Macaca mulatta: one gene and its partners. The protein of the gene in region 5 interacts with the protein of the main gene of each other region in a biochemical or structural test. Links are inferred from orthologs where the notes say so. Each region holds a gene or a part of one and is shown on either strand. Other genes may lie near its edges. The genes, in order: RALA, DLG1, SYNJ2BP, DLG4 and RALBP1.

Evidence for each region.
Region 1: the proteins of RALBP1 (region 5) and RALA form a complex in vitro, tested with the Homo sapiens proteins (3 studies listed by BioGRID). The link is inferred for Macaca mulatta from reciprocal best matches to the Homo sapiens genes RALBP1 and RALA.
Region 2: the proteins of RALBP1 (region 5) and DLG1 interact in a test that uses a peptide from one of them, tested with the Homo sapiens proteins (2 studies listed by IntAct, with this or other methods). The link is inferred for Macaca mulatta from reciprocal best matches to the Homo sapiens genes RALBP1 and DLG1.
Region 3: the proteins of RALBP1 (region 5) and SYNJ2BP form a complex in vitro, tested with the Homo sapiens proteins (2 studies listed by BioGRID and IntAct, with this or other methods). The link is inferred for Macaca mulatta from reciprocal best matches to the Homo sapiens genes RALBP1 and SYNJ2BP.
Region 4: the proteins of RALBP1 (region 5) and DLG4 interact in a biophysical measurement, tested with the Homo sapiens proteins (2 studies listed by IntAct, with this or other methods). The link is inferred for Macaca mulatta from reciprocal best matches to the Homo sapiens genes RALBP1 and DLG4.

Annotation. Positions count from the first base shown.
Region 1 is NC_133408.1:88,668,858-88,672,371, reverse strand, and holds part of RALA (ras-related protein Ral-A), read left to right. Parts: intron 1-3,267; coding exon 3,268-3,442; intron 3,443-3,514. UniProt on the Homo sapiens protein: Multifunctional GTPase involved in a variety of cellular processes including gene expression, cell migration, cell proliferation, oncogenic transformation and membrane trafficking.
Region 2 is NC_133407.1:2,693,645-2,697,158, forward strand, and holds part of DLG1 (disks large homolog 1), read right to left. Parts: intron 3,446-3,514; coding exon 3,276-3,445; intron 1,449-3,275; coding exon 1,312-1,448; intron 1-1,311. UniProt on the Homo sapiens protein: Essential multidomain scaffolding protein required for normal development. Recruits channels, receptors and signaling molecules to discrete plasma membrane domains in polarized cells.
Region 3 is NC_133412.1:143,571,846-143,575,900, reverse strand, and holds the start of SYNJ2BP (synaptojanin-2-binding protein), read left to right. Parts: upstream 1-1,255; 5' UTR 1,256-1,343; coding exon 1,344-1,407; intron 1,408-2,779; exon of another isoform or gene 2,780-2,968; coding exon of another isoform or gene 2,969-3,124; exon of another isoform or gene 3,125-3,175; intron 3,176-4,055. Other genes in the region: large ribosomal subunit protein eL39, read right to left, coding at 2,969-3,124. UniProt on the Homo sapiens protein: Regulates endocytosis of activin type 2 receptor kinases through the Ral/RALBP1-dependent pathway and may be involved in suppression of activin-induced signal transduction.
Region 4 is NC_133421.1:8,688,409-8,692,578, reverse strand, and holds the start of DLG4 (disks large homolog 4), read left to right. Parts: upstream 1-1,357; 5' UTR 1,358-1,542; intron 1,543-1,567; exon of another isoform or gene 1,568-1,697; coding exon of another isoform or gene 1,698-1,709; intron 1,710-2,241; coding exon of another isoform or gene 2,242-2,295; intron 2,296-2,426; 5' UTR 2,427-2,429; coding exon of another isoform or gene 2,430-2,456; coding exon 2,457-2,486; intron 2,487-2,678; coding exon 2,679-2,803; intron 2,804-2,901; coding exon 2,902-3,071; intron 3,072-3,169; coding exon 3,170-3,306; intron 3,307-3,451; coding exon 3,452-3,596; intron 3,597-4,170. UniProt on the Homo sapiens protein: Postsynaptic scaffolding protein that plays a critical role in synaptogenesis and synaptic plasticity by providing a platform for the postsynaptic clustering of crucial synaptic proteins.
Region 5 is NC_133423.1:80,483,929-80,487,442, reverse strand, and holds part of RALBP1 (ralA-binding protein 1), read right to left. Parts: coding exon 3,174-3,514; intron 2,358-3,173; exon of another isoform or gene 2,216-2,357; intron 1-2,215. UniProt on the Homo sapiens protein: Multifunctional protein that functions as a downstream effector of RALA and RALB. As a GTPase-activating protein/GAP can inactivate CDC42 and RAC1 by stimulating their GTPase activity.

The DNA of each region.
Region 1 (3,514 bases), on a different chromosome or scaffold from region 5:
CTGTCTTGGGGTGGGGGTCTGCGGGAGGGATAGCATTGGGAGAAGTACCTAATGTAAATGATGAGTTGATGGGTGCAGCAAACCAACATGGCACATGTATCCCTATGTAACAAACCTGCACGTTGTGCACATGTACCCTAGAACTTAAAGTATAATTAAAAAAAAAAAAAAGAAGAAGAACAGCATTCAGGTCCTCATTCACAAAGGAAACTGGTTAAGAAAGTCACAGCACGCCCTAGAAAAAGAGTGTGATTGGCCAAAATCCTCTTCACAAGTACTGCATATATTTAATAGTAATCATGGTGAAAGTTGACATAGTTTTTGCAAGAAATCATGTGAGTGGTAGGAAGCATCATAGCACTATGTAGTGCTGTACATCTTAGCCTGCATCACCCAGATACCATGCTTATTTGGCATTTTGTTTTCTAAAAGGATGTTTAAGACAAATACAAATCAGTGAAGAATGGCGTTTACTTTCTCTGTGACCCATAGTCTGTGCAGCCTATAGTCTATTCAGGTTAGAAGAACTGAGAGTTCAGTTCCAAAGAACTTCCTTTGAGTGTTGAATGTATTCGAATGTTTGCTACATCATGAGTAATCAAGTGAATGAAGTAATAATAGTAGTAGCACTACCTCATACTCATGCAACACTTACCAGGAGCCAGACTGTTCTAAGCATTCACATATATAAACTAGTTTCTCAAACAACACTGTGAGGTAGATACTACTGGATTTCATAGATTATAAGATGTACATTTTAACAGCTCTCAGGGCTATGTCTTATGATATGGCACCATACAGTTATAATTGCCAGCATTTTTTCTTGGAGTCTATAAAATAAGATTGAGAACAGTGATGTCTTAAATTTGACTTTATTTTAAAAAGCGACATCCAAATTTATAAATGAAGAAGCTGAAATGCAGGGAGGTTAAGTGGCTTGCCCCAGGTCGTGCAGTCAGGAATAGCATAGAGTTAAAATCCAGGAGGTCTGCCTTTGTATTCTCGTGGTATCTAATGTACAAGTTCATTGTGTGCTTTGGAGTTGGATTTCTCAGACCTGGTTCTACTTAAGTGTGACTCTGAGCAAGTTAACATAATTTCTCTGTGTATCAGATTCCTCATCTGTAGGACAAGAATAATAATGATACTAACTTCATAGGTTTAGGTAAGGATTAAATGAGAAAATATGTAAAGTCCTGAAAGTGGTGTTTGGCACATTGTGAACACTGAGTAAAATGTTAGTGGTAGTAGTGTGGTGGTGGTATTTAGGAAACATTGTCTAAGAAGCACAGAATAGAATAATCTGAAAATAAGGGAAGAAGGTTTTTCCCAATTTCTCAAGCATCACTATAGAATGCCTGCAGCCAGGTGCAGTGGCTCACTGCAGTAATCCCAGCACTTTGGGAGGGCGAGGCAGACAGATCACTTGAGCTCAGGCGTTCAAGACCAGTCTGGACAACACGGTGAAACCCCGTCTCTATGGAAAAAAGAAAAAAAAATTAGCTGGGTATGGTGGTGCGTGCCTGTGGTATAGTTGTGCTACTTGGGAAGTTGAGGTGGGAGAATTGCTTGATTCCGGGAGGTTGAGGCTGCAGCGAGCCATGATCATGCCACTGCACTCCAGCCTGGGTGTCAGGGAAAAAAAAAAAAAAAAAGACCTGCAAAACCAAGTGTACTTTGCTGATTTTTGCCATTCTAATATCCCTTTAATTTTCTCATTTTCTCTTATTGTAAAATATAGTCATCCCTCAGTATGGGGTGGGGGGGGATTGGTTCCAGGACCCCTTGTGGATACCAGCATCCATGGATGTTCAAGTCTCTTCTATAAAATGGTGTGGTATTTGCAGATAGCCTATGCACATCCTCCCATGTACGTTAAGTCATCTCTAGATTATTTTTAATAGCTAATACAGTGTAATTGGTAGGTAAATAGTTGTTATTCTGCATTTTAAATTTTGTTTTACTTTTTGTTGTGGCATTTTTTTGGTTTTTGATTTTTTTTTTTTTTTTTTTTTTGAGACAGGGTCTTACTCTGTCATCCAGGCTAGAGTACAGTGATGTAATTGTGGCTCACTGCAGCCTTGAATTCCTGGGCTCAAGTGATCTTCCTGAGTGGCTAGGACTATAGGTGCACACTACTACACCCAGCCAATTTTTTTTTTCTATTCTTTATAGATATGGGGTCTCACTATGTTGCCTGGGCTGGTATTGAACTCCTAGCCTCAAGCAATCCTCCTGCCTCAGCCTCCCAAAGTGCTGGGTTTACAGGTATGAGCCATTGCACCTGGCTGTTTTGGGGGTTTTAAAAGATATTTTTTATTTGCAGTTAGTTGAGTCTGTGGATACAGAGGGCTGACTGTACTTATGTTCCTATAGCTTCAACAGCTCTTAATAATTTCAAAGGAGAGACATTTTTAAGGTAGCAAATTAGTGAACCTAAATCTTACAGATTTCCTTTTGTTCGTTGATTTTATAAGAAAACATTTCTTCCAGTAGATTAATGAGATAACATTTTTTTAATATTTATACTGTTCCATGCAGTTATAAGCACTTCACATTTAACCCTCATAGCAACTTTATAAGGAATGTATCATTGTTAGCTCCATTTTATAGATGAGGAAACTGAGGTAAGAAGTACTTTGCTCAGACTTACATGACTAGGAAGAGCAGAACCATGGTACTTTAAAGTTGATGACACTTTCACAGTGGATAACTTACCTCTCAATGCAAAATTTATGCTCGAGGTCTGACTTCCAGTAATTTCTGGCACATTTGGGTTTTAAAAAACAGTTGGCAGGACCCTTGATATGATGCAATAAGAATAGCACTCTCTTGTTATCTTCCTCCCAAGAACCAATAACCCTGGTTTAATCATGAGAAAAACATCTGACAAATCCCAGTTGAGAGACATTCAACAAACTGCCTGCCAGCAGTCCTCAAAACTATCAAGGTCATTAAAAACAAGGAAAGTCTGAGAACTACCATGGCCAACTCGAGGCTAAAGAGACATGACAAAACTCAATGTCATGTGGCAACCTGGATGGGATCCTGGAACAGAAAAAGGATGTCAGGCAAAAAGCAAGCACATTTGAATAAAGTTTGGACCTTAGTTGCTAATACTGTATCAATATTGGTTCATTAATTGTGATTCGTGTACCATAGTAGTAGAAGATGTTAACAATAGGGAAAACTAGATACGGGGTAAACAAGAACTTTCTGTACTATCCTTATAATGTTATTATTTCTTTTTCATTTTCTCTTATCCAGGGAGCAGATTTTAAGAGTAAAAGAAGATGAGAATGTTCCCTTTCTACTGGTTGGTAACAAATCAGATTTAGAAGATAAAAGGCAGGTTTCTGTAGAAGAGGCAAAAAACAGAGCTGAGCAGTGGAATGTTAACTACGTGGAAACATCTGCTAAAACACGAGCTAATGTTGACAAGGTAACACGTGACTCTCTTTACTACTGCATCATGTTAAAATAGGTTGGTTTGCTTTAACTTGGCTCTCTTTTG
Region 2 (3,514 bases), on a different chromosome or scaffold from region 5:
CTGAGACAGTTATTGATTGATATGGTATGGCTCTGTGTCCCCACCCAAATGTCATCCTGAATTGTAATCCCCACGTGTTGAGGGAGGGACCTTGTAGAAGGTGATTAGATCATGGAGGTGGCTCCCGATGATACTCTCTTGATAGTGAGTGAGTCTCATGAGATGAGACTGTTTTATAAGCATCTAGCATCTCCCCTGCTGGCATGTGAAGAAGAGTGTGTTTGCTTTCCCCCACCCCCAACACCATGATTGTAAGTTTCCTGAGGCTGGTGAGTCCATTAAACCTCTTTCCTTTATAAATTACCCAGTCTCGGGTAATTCTGCATAGCAGTGTGAAAACAAACTAATACACTGATGAAGATTAGACAAATAAATTGCAGTATAGACATACAGTGGAATATTACATAGAGATAAAATGAATGAACTTTAGCTCTAAGCAATGATATGGGTAAGTCTTAGTAAAACAATATTAAGCAAAAAAAATACTGGAGACGAAAGTCTCATACAGTGCAACAGCGTTCTGAAAAACCTTCAAAAGAATACTAAACAAAATTATTTAGGCATATGTATGTAATTAAACTTTTTTTTTTTTTTGAGATGGGCTCTCACTCTGTCACCCAGACTGGAGTACAGTGGGACAATCACAGCTCACTGTAACCTCAACCTCCTGGGCTCAGGTGATCGTCCCACCTCAGTCTCCTGAGGAGCTGGGACTATAGGTGTGTATCACCAGGCCTGGCTAATTTCTGTATTTTTTGTAGAGACAGGGTTTTGCCATGCAGACCAGGCTGGTCTTAAACTCCTGGGTACAAGCAATCTGCCTACCTCAGCCTCCCTAAGTGCCAAGATTACAGACAGGTGTGAGCCACCATACCTGGCCTAATTAAACAATTTTTAAGAAGCAAAGGAATAAGAAACACAAAATGGTTGATGTTCTAATTCTTGAGCTGGGTAATTACTAGATTTCATTATATTATTAAGTGAAGTAAAACACAAAAGGGTCATACATAAACAAATGATGACGCTGTTTTATAAATCTAAGGATTATGATGAAACACTCTGTGCATACAAGCCCTCAACCCTTCAACAACAATGAAGGAATAAAAGGAAAACGGAGGAGGAGCTGGCAGAGAAAACAGAAATGACAAATAAAGATATTACCAAGAATCATTTTTTAGGATTTGATACAGCAAGGCTAGGATTTGCTAATTTAAATATCATTTAGACCTTTTTGGTATGGAGAAATTCCAGTATCTATTAGAAAAATCAGACAACAAAATGATTTAAAAGACAACAGATTTCTATACTTACTGCTAGAAGCTTATCTCCAATCTGGAGTTTGCCATCCTTATGTGCTGCACCTCCTTCAATTATTTTGGTTACATAGATGCTATTATCCCCAGGAATATGCTGATTTCCAACACCTCCAGCAATGCTGAACCCAAGACCTGTTTGGAAAACACTAGTTTTAGATTCTCTTCTATAAATATGAACTTAAGCCCAGAAAAAAATGGTTGAAAACTACAACGTAATAATTCCACCACACTAATATTTTTTAAAATAGAAAAGAATCCATTTAGTTATCTACTAGTGTATGTTCTGCAATCAAGGGACACTTATAAATATAGCTGCTCCTAGAGTTATGAATAGATTCCTTTTATCCCACGTGTTCCTTCTTAGTATCTTCTCGCAAATGCACTTGTTATTCCAAAGTGACATTGCAAAATTATGTTTTACTTTTGTTTCCATCATAATTACGCTCACCTACACTTTCATTATTTTCACTAGAATAAAACAATTGAGAAGAAATAATATCGTCTGGTGGTGGTGGGCAGAACCAACAGGCTTTAAAAATGTGAATACTTTGGCTCTTTTTCAATATTCTATGAATTAACAACTTTAAGTAAGGAATTTCTGTAATTCTTAAATCCCATAGCTCCAACATCAGAAAATTTCTCAGCTCTCCATTCCTTTTTCATTTGTTGAAATCCTCCCTCTTCCATGAAGCCACATATTTAAACTAATATTTCCATTTATCCTCAATCCATCAATGTTTTAAAAATTCAGAAATCACATCTTTTTTTTTTTTTTTTTTTTTTTTTTGAGATGGAGTCTTGCTCTGTGGCCCAGGCTGGAGTGCAGTGGCCGGATCTCGGCTCACTGCAAGCTCCACCTCCCGGGTTCCCGCCATTCTCCTGCCTCAGCCTCCCGAGTAGTTGGGACTACAGGCGCCCGCCACCTTGCCCGGCTAGTTTTTTGTATTTTTTAGTAGAGACGGGGTTTCACCGTGTTAGCCAGGAGGGTCTCCATCTCCTGACCTCGTGATCCGCCCATCTCGGTCTCCGAACGAGAAATCACATCTTAACAGTCCTTTACTGCAGATGTAACTGCTCATAATACATATTAAAAGCACTTCTTCTTTTAACTTAGGCTGTGTATCTGCATTTAAAGTACTTTGTAGATTAATTATCACAAGTTAATATCAATACTATACTTAACTTCAAAGTATTCCAGGACACAAATATTTCACTTTTAACACTAGAAGTCTTTAATGTAATAATACTTAATACCAATAGGGAGAAATCCACTTATAAAACAAGTAGATATTTTGTTCCTTACTTTTAAAAATTCTTAAAAACGTGCTGAGCAAATATTGAATATAAAAATCATAAAAACTTATAAATCTATATATATGCTCACTGAGGTAAAATGTATAAAATGTATAATTGACAAACATAAGAATTTTGGGCCAGGTGCAGTGGCTCACACTGTAATACCAGCACTCTGGGGGGCTGAGGTGGGAGAACTGTTTGAGCCCAGGAGTTTGAGACCAGCCTAGGCAATGCAGGGAGACCTCCGTCCCTACAAAAACTAAAAAAATCAGCCCAGTGTGGTGGCGCGTGCATGTAGTCCAAGCTACCTGGGAGGGTGAGGTGAGAGGATCGCTTGAGCTCAGGAGACTGAGGCTGCAGTAAGCCATGGATGTACCACTGGACTCCAGCCAGGGTGACAGGGCAAAACCCTGCCTCTAAAAACAACCCCCCACCCCAAAAAATAGGAACTTTTCAAATGCTGCAATCTTGGTAGAAATGTAAATATTCTAAAATGCAACGTAGGACAAAAATCAGTAGAAATAACAGAGAAATTAAAATCCACTCAAGTTCTATAGAATATTACTATTATTGTTCATCTTGAAATCTATGTCACAGATAAAGTTCATAGGAATACTTAACTCAGAGATTTCTTAATTTATCTTAGTTTGACTTACCACATACCTTTAGGACCTTTAATGAGCTTTATTTCCATTATTTTTTCTGATACTGGTTTCCTTCTTTTTACATACAAGCGTACGATAGACCCTGCTTCTTTCAACGCTTCAACTGCTTTGCTATGTGTTACATCACGAACATCTACTTCATTTACTCGTAATATACAGTCATTGACCCTGAGAAAACAATTAAATATAAAAAATAAAAATTAAATATAATGTAAATATTAATTTTCCACTTCACAA
Region 3 (4,055 bases), on a different chromosome or scaffold from region 5:
TAGCCTCCCAAAGTGCTGGGATTACAGGCGTGAACCACTGCGCCCAGCCTCCACTATTCCATCTTTACTTCTCTCAGAGTGAGCAAACAAGAGGCCTTCCTGCCGAATCTGCCCCTATCTCCTTCTGTTTGGTAAACATAGTTGCTGCTGCTTTGGTTTTTTACTATAAATTTGAATGTCTTTATATTGGCCTTGCACTTTCTACTCCTCTAAGATCCCCACCAATCGCTGTGGTCTAACTCCAGGTTGCTTCACAAGGTTGTCACCTTCCTGGTTCTTTAGGCTTTTGTGTTTTTGACCCCTGAAGTTTCATTCAAGTTCAGTTTGGAATATCTCATTCCAAAAGTCAGGAAGACTGGCCTAAAGTTATACCTAAGTCGTGAGTTAACCTTATTGTAAGAGTTAAAACATTAAAAAGACTGAATTTTCCCAGTTGCCAAAAGGATGAGCCATTCCCCTAGTCCCCTTTCTTAAAAAATTTTCTTGAGCAAATTCTAATTATAATCCGTGTGTGTGTGTGCGTGTGTGTGTGTGTGTGTGTAACTTTTTAAAAGCTAAATAAGCCTCTTGTCAGATAGAACCCAGGAATCTTTTTCTTCAGGTCCCGGGAGCCAACTCCTTGAAATGTAACTATCAAGGTAGACAGTGCCCCTATGATCCACGCTCGCGGGAGTTACCCTAAGCGACTTGCTCCAAGCCGTAAGTACCTGTTTGTCACAGAGATAACGTTTTATTTTTCCTTTGGATAAAGGCAATTAACCAACACAGACGGCCACTCCAACGGTGAACTACCAAAAATTGAATATCAAACCATGTTAACTCGTCTTACTTGAGAACGTGCGTGTGCTTTAGCTACATAAAAGGTGATATTGTTGTCTCTCTTTGCAATCTCATTAGTGGATTGCCTGTGACACTCATTCCGGTCTGGTTCGATGTTTACAGAATAATACAACTTTTTTTTCTTTTCTAAATTTGTGGAGATTTTCTAGGATGGCAGGGGATTTTTTTAAAAAATTTTTTCTCGACAATATCAATTTATTTAGGTCCCTTACTTTTACTAGCCACCCCTTCCCACCTCCTTCCAATGGCAAATTAGAATAACTTGCCCCTTGCTCACCTCATGCGTGGCCTTGGGAACTGGTGAGAAACTGCAATCCGTTGGCGGCAGGAACCACGATTCCCAGCATTCCCAGCGCTCTGAGTCCTTCGGGCTTCCTTTTCCGGGTCTCGAGGCTGCTGAAACCGAAAGTGCTGTGCTGTGGGCAGCAGCGCCGAGATTGATTCACCTTCTCCTGTGCGGAACTCCAGCTGACCCGAGTAGGAAGCCAGACGAGCTGTAAATCATGAACGGAAGAGTGGTTTATTTGGTCGCTGAGGAAGAGATCAATCTTACCAGAGGACCCTCAGGTATGTGCGGAACGGGTCATATCTGATAGTAGGGGATTAGAGGGTGTAATTGCAGACATCTCTGCTGCTGAGCCGGATTCACCTGGCCTCGGGGCAGGCCCCAACCTAGAGGTTTCGTGCAACGCTTTGGGGTGCTTAGAGAAAATATGTTGAAATCCATCATTAGCCAGATACGGATCTGAGGAATCCACCTCAAAATCCAGTCGGATGACCACAAATATATATAGTCACGAAAGGGTTCTTTCTGCAAATCGTGCTAGAAAAGTCTTTTTAAAAGTCTGCTTTTTTAGCCTGCTTGTCGTGGACACCACATCCTTCCTACCGTTGCCTGTTCTATCCTTCACGCTATGAGGGACCGTTTAGTAAAATGGGAGCATAAGCGGTGTAGACTCTGAATGCATAGCCGTTTTCCTGCAGCTAGGATCCCTCCCTCGCTCCTTTGATTTCTGGGAAATTCATTTACAGTGCCAACTAGAATGTTAAAGCAGGAAGAGCCCTTAGAAATCTTTTATTACACAGGTTCTCAAACTTGGTTCCGCCACAAAATTTCCCAGGGCTTTAAAAAAAAAAAAAAAAAAGGCCGGGCGCGGTGGCTCAAGCCTGTAATCCCAGCACTTTGGGAGGCCGAGACGGGCGGATCACGAGGTCAGGAGATCGAGACCATCCTGGCTAACACGGTGAAACCCCGTCTCTACTAAAAATACAAGAAAATTAGCCGGGCGAGGTGGCGGGCGCCTGTAGTCCCAGCTACTCGGGAGGCTGAGGCAGGAGAATGGCGTGAACCCGGGAGGCGGAGCTTGCAGTGAGCCGAGATCGCGCCACTGCACTCCAGCCTGGGGCACAGAGCAAGACTCCGTCTCAAAAAAAAAAAAAAAAAAGAAAAAAAAAGAAAAAAAAGTTAATTCTTATCTCCTATCTGCAGGGATTTGGATTCAGTACGGATTTATTTTATTTATTTATTTATTTAAGTTTTTTTTATGAACACCTCATGTGATTTTGAGCAGCCAAACTGCTATCCTCTTACCCCACTGAGGCTCTTCATTAAACTGGGCTCTTGACATTACTACATTCTGCCTTCTTTCGACTTTGTTTATTTTCCTTTACAGCTATTTAGTTGATCGATTAAGAGCTTTAGCTTTGGAATTACAGTATCTGGGTTCAAATCTTGTATCTAACCGCTTACTGATTCTTTGATACTTATTGGCTCACCTAACTGATGTAAGCCTTAGGTTATCATCTCTAAAATGGGGATGGTTATAAATATACTTCATAGTGTTGTGAGAATGAAATGAGTTAATCTATGTAAAATGTTTACAATATTGCCTGACCTATGGTAAGCAGTATGTGTTTCCTACTGTTGTTATTGTTTTTTTTTCTTTTTTTGGAATGAAAGTCCTCACATATTTATTACTGAACCCAGCCAACCAATGCATTCATAATAGATTCAGAGAGGAAAATACGTCGAACTCTCCAGAGAGTGGTGACATTTTCAGTTTGATATGGTAATGTGATCGTGACCTTCAGACAGCACAAATATATGTGCCATCTCATGTGCAATTCCTTATAGACCCAGCTTGGTTCTTCTCCAATGTCTCCTTTTGGAGTTGTACCTTATTTTATTTCCAGTTTTCATCCGAATCCACTGGGGAATGGGACGATTTTGCTTTTGTTTCTTGGCCAGGAATCGCTTAATCCTGAAAGTCTTGTGAGAAGACATGGCGAGAAGTGGAAGCAAGAACACACCACGATGGCGGAGAAAGGAAAAGAGGGGGTACTGTTGTTATTGTTAATGGATAAATAGCTAAACTGACACAGTAGATCCTACTAATACTGTATTCCAAGAGTCTCTAATAAATCATCAGGTACTATGAGCTCCATCTCTGAAATGTTCCTGAAATCCTTTCACTCCTTTTTCCCTTGCCACCACCTAGGACAGCCCATCACCTTTTCTCACTGCAGTTCTGCAGTAGCTTAATCATCATGGATAGATTATTCTTTATAAAATATAACTTTCAGAATTATCCATACTTTGTGTCTTTTTTTCTTTTCTTTCTTTCTTTTTCCTTTCTTTTTTGAGACAGGGTCTCACTCTGTTGCCCAGGCTGAAGTGCAGTGGCATGATCTCAGCCCACTGCAGCCTCTCCCTCTTAGGCTCAAGCAATCCTCCCACCTTAGCCTCCTGAGTAACTGGTACCATGGGTGTGCACTGCCAGGTCTGGCTAATTTTTTTGTATTTTTGGTAGAGACAATGTTTTACTACATTGCCCAGGCTGGTCTTGAACTCCAGAGTTTAAATGATCCACCCACCTCTGCCTCCCAAAGTCCTGGGATTACACGTGTGAGCCACTGTGCCTGGCCTTCCTTTCTATTATAAATAATTGGAAGTTGGTTTTACTTATTGTAATATAACCCATCACTAATATCATTATTAATATTATTATTATTTTTTTTTAGAGACGAGGTCTCGCTTTGTTGCCCAGGCTGGTCTTGAACTCCTGGACTCAGGCAGTCCTCCTACCTTGGCCTCCCAAAGTGCTGGGATTACAGTCATGAGCCACCATGCCTGGCCTATCACTAATCTTAATGGATTAGTGTCATGGATTATGTGCGCCTAAACTTTTGTCAAAGGTTCATTTGGTATGCCCAAG
Region 4 (4,170 bases), on a different chromosome or scaffold from region 5:
GAGTGAGGGAAAGAAGACTAGAGATGCTTTTTGTAAGGCAGGGCCATTAAATCCCTGAGCAGGGGGAAGAGGAGGTAGGGAGCCTGAGGGGTGGTAGTTAGTACAGAGCTACTGTGGATCAAAGCTTAGGAGCAGAAGAGGGTGGAGGGAGAGAGTGTTGGAGGCCATAAGCATGGGGTGGAGGTCTCAAGACAAGGCCTCACCTGGGGAACAAGAGAAGCCCCAATTTTCAGAAGAGAGGGGGAGTTGATTGAGAAGTGTAAGATTGTTACTTGAGAATAATCTTGAGGGTATGAAGGCAGGGTAAGGGAGAATGGTGATACACTCTCTGGGGAATCAGAAATTGAGATGGAGTAGCTGGGTGCGGTGGCATGTGCCTGTAGCTACACAGGAGGCTGAGGTGGGAGGACTGCTTGAGCCCAGGAGTTCAAGGCAGCAGTGAGCTATGATCACACCACTGCGCTCCAGCCTGGGTGACGCAGCGAGACTCTGTCTCGGGAAAAAAAGAAAAAAAGAAATTGCGATGGAGGATGAGGCCACGACATTGGTAAGGGATGGGGCTGGAGGGTGTGATAGGGCCAGGGAAGCGGATGGAGAATGGAGGCTGGAGGCTAGGGTTGGAAGATGGATGTTGAAGGGCGAGACAGGGATGGAGATGGAGCGTGTGGGATGCGGGCAGAGACAGGGATGGGAAGCAAATGAATGTCGTAGTGGATGAAGGTGGGTGTGCTGGGAAGGAGGTTCCAGGATAGGGATGGGATGGGGATTGAGGATAGGCTATGGGATGGAGGATGAACACGTGGATGAGATTTTGGCAGTCAGTGGCTGTTGGTTGGACAACAGCATTTGCTGAGATGTGAAGGGTTGGAGGGTGGTGTTAATCGATTTATGGGTGTGAAACCTGTGATACAGCTTGAAAATGGTTGGTAGTTTGTAGGCTTGGGAAATAGCACTAGGAGAGGGGAGGGACCCCTTTGGACGGGGAGAGCGGGAAGGAGACTGGGGAATCCTTGGGCTTGGGCTACTGCAAATACATGTTTCTTTAAGGAGGAAGTAGGTTGGGGACCCCGGAAGGAGGCTCTTGGCGGCCTCCCCCCATTGCCATAGAGACGTGGCTTCGGTTGCCCTGGCAATTGGGGAAGCCCCTAGGACCAGCCTAAAGCTGGCCCCGCCTGGGAGTCTAGAGACCAGGCGATTGACGTCAGGGACCTGGGCACGCCCCACTTTAACCCCTTCCCGAATGAAGTTGGGGGAGGGAATAGATGAGCGGGATAGGACCCGGATGTCTTTCACCACTCCCCCTTCCTGACGTCCTTTGCACTGCGTAGGGTGAGGGGCGTAGGGGAGCGAGGAAGGCAGGTTATTCAGAATGCGCTGCGCCCACAAACCTCTTCAGGCCGGCCTCCTCTCGGCCTGGCTAACGCTGGGCGGGGCCCAGGGCAGAAGAGGCGGGGCTAGCGGAAACCTTCTGCGCTCAGGAGTTTGGTCGGCCTCAGGCCACGCCCCACCCCCCTGTTGTCCTGACGACGGGGCCTCCTGGAGGTGGGTCTCCCCGGGTCTTGGCTGGTCCTAGATACCGTTGCTAGGCAACACGGTCCCTAGAGGAAGGGGTGGATTGGACGTCTGGTTGGTGAGACCAAGGGAGGGGTCTGCAGCTGGGGGAACCCCGGATTCCCGGGGTGCAGGGTTTAGGGCAAATGTGTGTGAAGGTGAGGGACAAGTCTAGGGGAGGATTATGATAATATCCGGGTAGTTATGGGGGGATTGGGGGGGGATGGGGCAGGAAGTGGGTACCAGGACCCGGTGGACATGATCCCTGGGTTGTCCATGTGTAGCACATAAGGCATGTAACACCCTGTGGTGTTACATCCGGTGAGAAGCTCCCTTCCCCCAAGCCTACCCCCCTCTCCCCACTCTTTGCCATCTGCTGCTCCCCTCTCCGTCTGGCTGTCTCCCTTCCCGCTTCTCCTACACCTCCTTCCACATGCAGGGGGCCCCGGGCTGGGCAGAGTTAGATCCATGTGCTTGTGCATCTGTGCGTGTGTGTGTGCGTGCGCATGTGCACGCGTGTGCGTGTGTGTGTGATGTGGAGTGAGACTGGGCCCTTGAGCAGCTCTCAGCGTGGCAGAGTGGGCTTGGCTAAGAGGCTGAAAGGGTAGCCACGCTGATGGGACCCTCCGTTACGGGCTCCCTCTCGAGTCAAGGCTCAGGTGGCTTTTTGTCTCTTGTTTCCCCAAACAGGCCAATTCTCCCCCTGTGATTGTCAACACAGATACCCTAGAAGCCCCAGGATATGTGAGTTGTTTAGATTTTGGGGCTAGGGCCATTGCAGAAGGAAGGAGGGAGTAAGGGAGGGAAGCAGATGACGGGCAGGTTGTGAGGCAGGAATGTCTGTCTCACTGCTTTTGTGTTTCTGTCCCGTGCTGGAGTTGCAGGTGAACGGGACCGAGGGGGAGATGGAATACGAGGAAATCACATTGGAAAGGGTGAGCAGGCTCCTCCATTGGCAGTCCCCTTGGCCCCCCATCTGTACCTTTCTTTCTGCCCATGTGGTCTGCGTGGCCAGCCCCTCACCCTATCCCTTCCTGCTCTGGCTGCTCCAAGACATTTCCCACCCCACTTGCCTTGCCAGACTTGGGCAGTGAGGGGAGCTGACCCTCTTCCCCTCCTTCGCCCAGGGTAACTCAGGTCTGGGCTTCAGCATCGCAGGTGGCACTGACAACCCACACATCGGTGACGACCCGTCCATTTTCATCACCAAGATCATTCCTGGTGGGGCTGCGGCCCAGGATGGCCGCCTCAGGTGAGGAGAGGATACAGGGGTTAGGATGCTTGGTCCCTGGAGAGGGAGGGCCAGGGCAGCAGGAAGCTCTTGGCTCAGGCCCACCTTGCTGCTCCCAGGGTCAACGACAGCATCCTGTTTGTAAATGAAGTGGACGTGCGCGAGGTGACCCACTCGGCAGCGGTGGAGGCCCTCAAAGAGGCAGGCTCCATCGTTCGCCTCTATGTCATGCGCCGGAAGCCCCCAGCTGAGAAGGTCATGGAGATCAAGCTCATCAAGGGGCCTAAAGGTAGTAACTCATTTTGTTCCCCCATCCCAACTGTCCTGTGCCCCCAAGCCTGCTTCCTGGGCACCTGGGCACCCACCTCTGGCCTCCCCTCCATCCAGGTCTTGGCTTCAGCATCGCAGGGGGCGTAGGGAACCAGCACATCCCAGGAGATAATAGCATCTATGTAACAAAGATCATCGAAGGGGGTGCTGCCCACAAGGATGGGAGGTTGCAGATTGGAGACAAGATCCTGGCGGTGAGGACCCCATCTAGTCCATTTTCTAGCCCAAATCTGGGTCTCACCTACTAGCCCTGGCAGGCGCAAGTTCATCACTTCATCCCAGTCCATCTGTCTTGGGCCATTTGTGGCTTTGTCTGAGCTTTGCTTTCCTTGACTCCAGGTCAACAGTGTGGGGCTAGAGGATGTCATGCATGAAGATGCTGTGGCAGCCCTGAAGAACACGTATGATGTTGTCTACCTAAAGGTGGCCAAGCCCAGCAATGCCTACCTGAGTGACAGCTATGCTCCCCCAGACATCACAACCTGTGAGAGCCCTTCAAACGCCAAAGCTCCCCATGACCCATCCCGTTTAACCCATGACATGCAGTCCCATGACATCCCTGTAGCTGTCCCTCTTCAGATATTCCCAATGAAATAGCCACAACCGAGACGGGCGGATCACGAGGTCAGGAGATCGAGACCATCCTGGCTAACACGGTGAAACCCCGTCTCTACTAAAAAATACAAAAAACTAGCCGGGCGAGGTGGCGGGCACCTATAGTCCCAGTTACTCGGGAGGCTGAGGCAGGAGAATGGCGTAAACCCGGGAGGCGGAGCTTGCAGTGAGCTGAGATCCGGCCACTGCACTCCAGCCCGGGCGACAGAGCCAGACTCCGTCTCAAAAAAAAAAAAAAAAAAAAAAAAAAAAAAAAAAAGAAATAGCCACAACCTCTGATCCTTGCTGTTGTCAGAGAAGAGATGGAAAATCAATTACCATAAAAGAACTAGAAAAGATCGTCAATGATCTCTCCCATGGAAGGCACAAAACCTGTTTGGTTTTATGGCTAATTTTATGAAATTCTCAAGGAATAGATAATTCTTCTGCTCTTCCAGAGTATA
Region 5 (3,514 bases):
AGAAAATAACTCCCATTTTCTTACTTTTAATGACAATATGGGTAAACCATAAGTGATAATAACTGAAATTCTTGGCAAAGATTTTTTCTCTTCCTCATGTATATTTAATTCGCCCCCCTGCAGTACCTACCCAACAAACTGTACAAGTAGACAATTAGAATGTGTGTTTGGTTTGCCATTACTCCAAAACTGTTATCAAAATGTTTTTCTTTTAAAAATTGGACACTACAAATAAAGTGTTCCACAGAAAGACAGAAAGAGCATACGGGTACACTTTAATGCAAAAAATACAAGAAAATGTAGATGAATAAATTAAAATGTATAAAATCACTTAAATTGTCTTTCATATTCGTTTAAAATTAGATAAGCAAGAACTAAAACTTCCAGCAAAAGGTCTTAAAATGAATAAGTGAGAACTAACATCTCTAGCAAAAAGCAGTGTTATTAGCAGCACTGTCCATGACAGTAGTATAAGTTGGGCTGACTACAGCACTCTGCCACAGGTTAGAGAATAAACCCAGAACTCAACAGAGCAGGAGCTCAGCCCCCAGCTGTTGCAATATGGGCAGCAGCTCAATCTGAATGCTTTACACACAGAGAAGAGGAGTTCTATGACTGAATTTCCAAAAAAATGCAGACATTAAAAAGTAGGTCAGAGACAAAAAGAATCCTTTGAACAAAGCTGTAGAAAATTTTCAGAGAAACTTTTACCTAAAACAAAACTAATTCATGGCTACTAAGACCATGTGAGAGAAGCAACTTACATTATTAATGTTTAAATGTTTAAAGAATCAATTCGGTATATTATTCTTTTTTTTTTTTTTTTTTTGAGATGGAGTCTTGCTCTGTCTCCAGGCTAGAGTGCAGTGCCATGATCTTGGCTCATTGTAACCTCCACCTCTTGGGTTCAAGCTATTCCCCTGCCTCAGCCTCCCAAGTAGCTGGGACTACAGGCGCACGCCCCCACGCCTGGCTAATTTTTTGTATTTTAGTAGAGACAGGGTTTCACCATGTTGGCCAGGATGGTCTCAATCTCCTGACCTCACAATCTGCCTGCCTCAGCTTCCCAAAGTGCCGGGATTACAGGCATGAGCTACTGCACCTAGCCAATTATTCTTAAAAATCAATTAGTTTAAATATGTTTATATAATACTAAGGAGTTATAAACTCAAATTCAATGCCTAATTTATTTCATTTTCTATAAAAAAATAACATTTTAGTCAAAATATTCTTAAACAATGGCATGTAATCTAGTGGATTATGTAACGGTTTTCCCAATTATCAAAAATATCTGCCCAAGGCCGGGCGCGGTGGCTCACGCCTGTAATCCCAGCACTTTGGGAGGCCGAGACGGGCGGATCACGAGGTCAGGAGATCGAGACTATCCTGGCTAACACGGTGAAACCCCGTCTCTACTAAAAAAAAAAAAATACAAAAATTAGCCGGGCGCGGTGGTGGGCGCCTGTAGTCCCAGCTATACGGGAGACTGAAGCAGGAGAATGGCTTGAACCTGGGAGGCGGAGCTTTCAGTGAGTGGAGATGGCGCCACTGCACTCCAGCCTGGGCGACAGAGAGAGACTCCGTCTCACAAAAAAAACAAACAAAAAAAAAACTGCCCTTTCTCAGCAAAACTTAAATATCAAATCTACCTTCTAGAATTGCATATGAACCAATTAAATGAAAAAACTAAGTTTAATCTATCTATTCTACATGTGTATGACTTAACAACTCATCATGAAAATACATGTGACCAACAAGTATTATTATTATTTTTGAGACAAGGTCTCACTCTCGCCCTGGCTGGAGTGCAGTGGTACGACCATGGCTCACTGCAGCCTCAAACTCCTGGGCTCAAGTGATCCTCCTGCCTCAGTCAACAATTAATTTTATAAAATAAATCTCTAAACAGAAACTGGTGATGTACCAAGAAACTGAATAATGGCAATGTAATAATTTGGAACACAGATGCTGCTACAGGTCAGGGCTTTCATCCTATCCTGGTATAAAAGTCATACTGCTTTGTAAGAAATCTTTTTTACTTTTAAAACTATACATATTGCTTGATTTAGATACCCAATCAAAACACACTCTTGCCAAATATGAAATTTAATTTGTATACATGTGGAATAAAGATAAATAGAAAATCAGTGATGCTAATATATGTAATAGTCGCATGTAGCTGACCAAAGCATTCACATATAGGGCCTAAACACTGACCACGTCTTGGTCTTTTAGCTAAAGTCAGGTGTAGTATCTGTTCCAAGATTTCTGGAGCAGGGAGACGGAACAGAAGCTCGCTTGGACCACTCCATGTATTGACCGGGTATTGCAGTACCTCTATGAACCGTGCACCAAGAAAACAAAAACCAAAACCATTTCACACCTCTTAGCTGAGCTAAGGAAATGCATTATATGACTGTGTCCATAAACGTGACTCTTGGCCAAGAAGATTCCTTCACAGTGTTAACTTTCCTTTTCTTGCTGATGACCCTTGTATCACTGAGCCTCTGCTTACAGAGGAAAGAGGAAAAAAAAAAAAAAAGCAGGCGCCTGGGAGTGGTGGCTCACACCTATAATCCCAGCACTTTGGGAGGCCAAGGAGGGCAGATCATCTGCGGTCAGGGATTTAAGACCAGCCTGGCCAATATGGTGAAACCTTGTCTCTACTAAAAATACAAAAATTAGCTGGGTGTGGTGGTACATGCCTATAATCCCAGCTACTCGGGAGGCTGAGGCAGGAGAATCACTTGAACCCAGGAGGCGGAGGTTGCAGTGAGCTGAGATCATGCCACTGCACTCCAGCCTGGGCGACAGAGCGAGATTCTGTCTCGAAAACACAAACAAACAAAAGAAAAAGAAAAAAAAGAGTCTGAATGCAGCCCTGTTAAGCAATGCTACCAGTATACTTCACTTCGCTTTACTCCTGGCTGCTGCGAGCTACAAACAACTAACGTGACATCCTCCTAATGGAAGGAAACATAAAAAACCAAATGCTGGAACACCAAAGAAAGGCTGGGGAGAGGGGTGGATTTCTGTGCAACTGGGAGGATCGAGGAAATGAATAAAGCTTAGGATCCAGGCCAAATTGTCCTCACAATATTTTTTCTTCCTTTGAAAAATGAAAGTGAAGTTAATTATTAAAAACCACCAAGTGAAGTGCACATTCCCAGTACCTGATACTCTGTAGATGCCTTCACACTTCATGCCATACTTCTCTACGTAATCTATACATTCACGGAAAACGGCTGGCAGCCGAATGCCATCATACATCATGGTCCTCTCTACTGCATCAGCCAAAGGAATTCCAAAAATGGGTTTGAGATTTGGAACATCAATCTGAGGCACCTCTGGCTCCTGAATTGGCTTTTTCTTTTTCTTCTTTTCCTTCCACTGTTTAACAACATCAGCTGCTGTCAAGTCTTTTGACTTCTTCTCTTTATGTTTTTCTTCTTTGTGCTTTTCTTCTTTATGCTTTTCTTCTTTGGGTTTCTCTTTTATTTTAAAATCCTTTTCC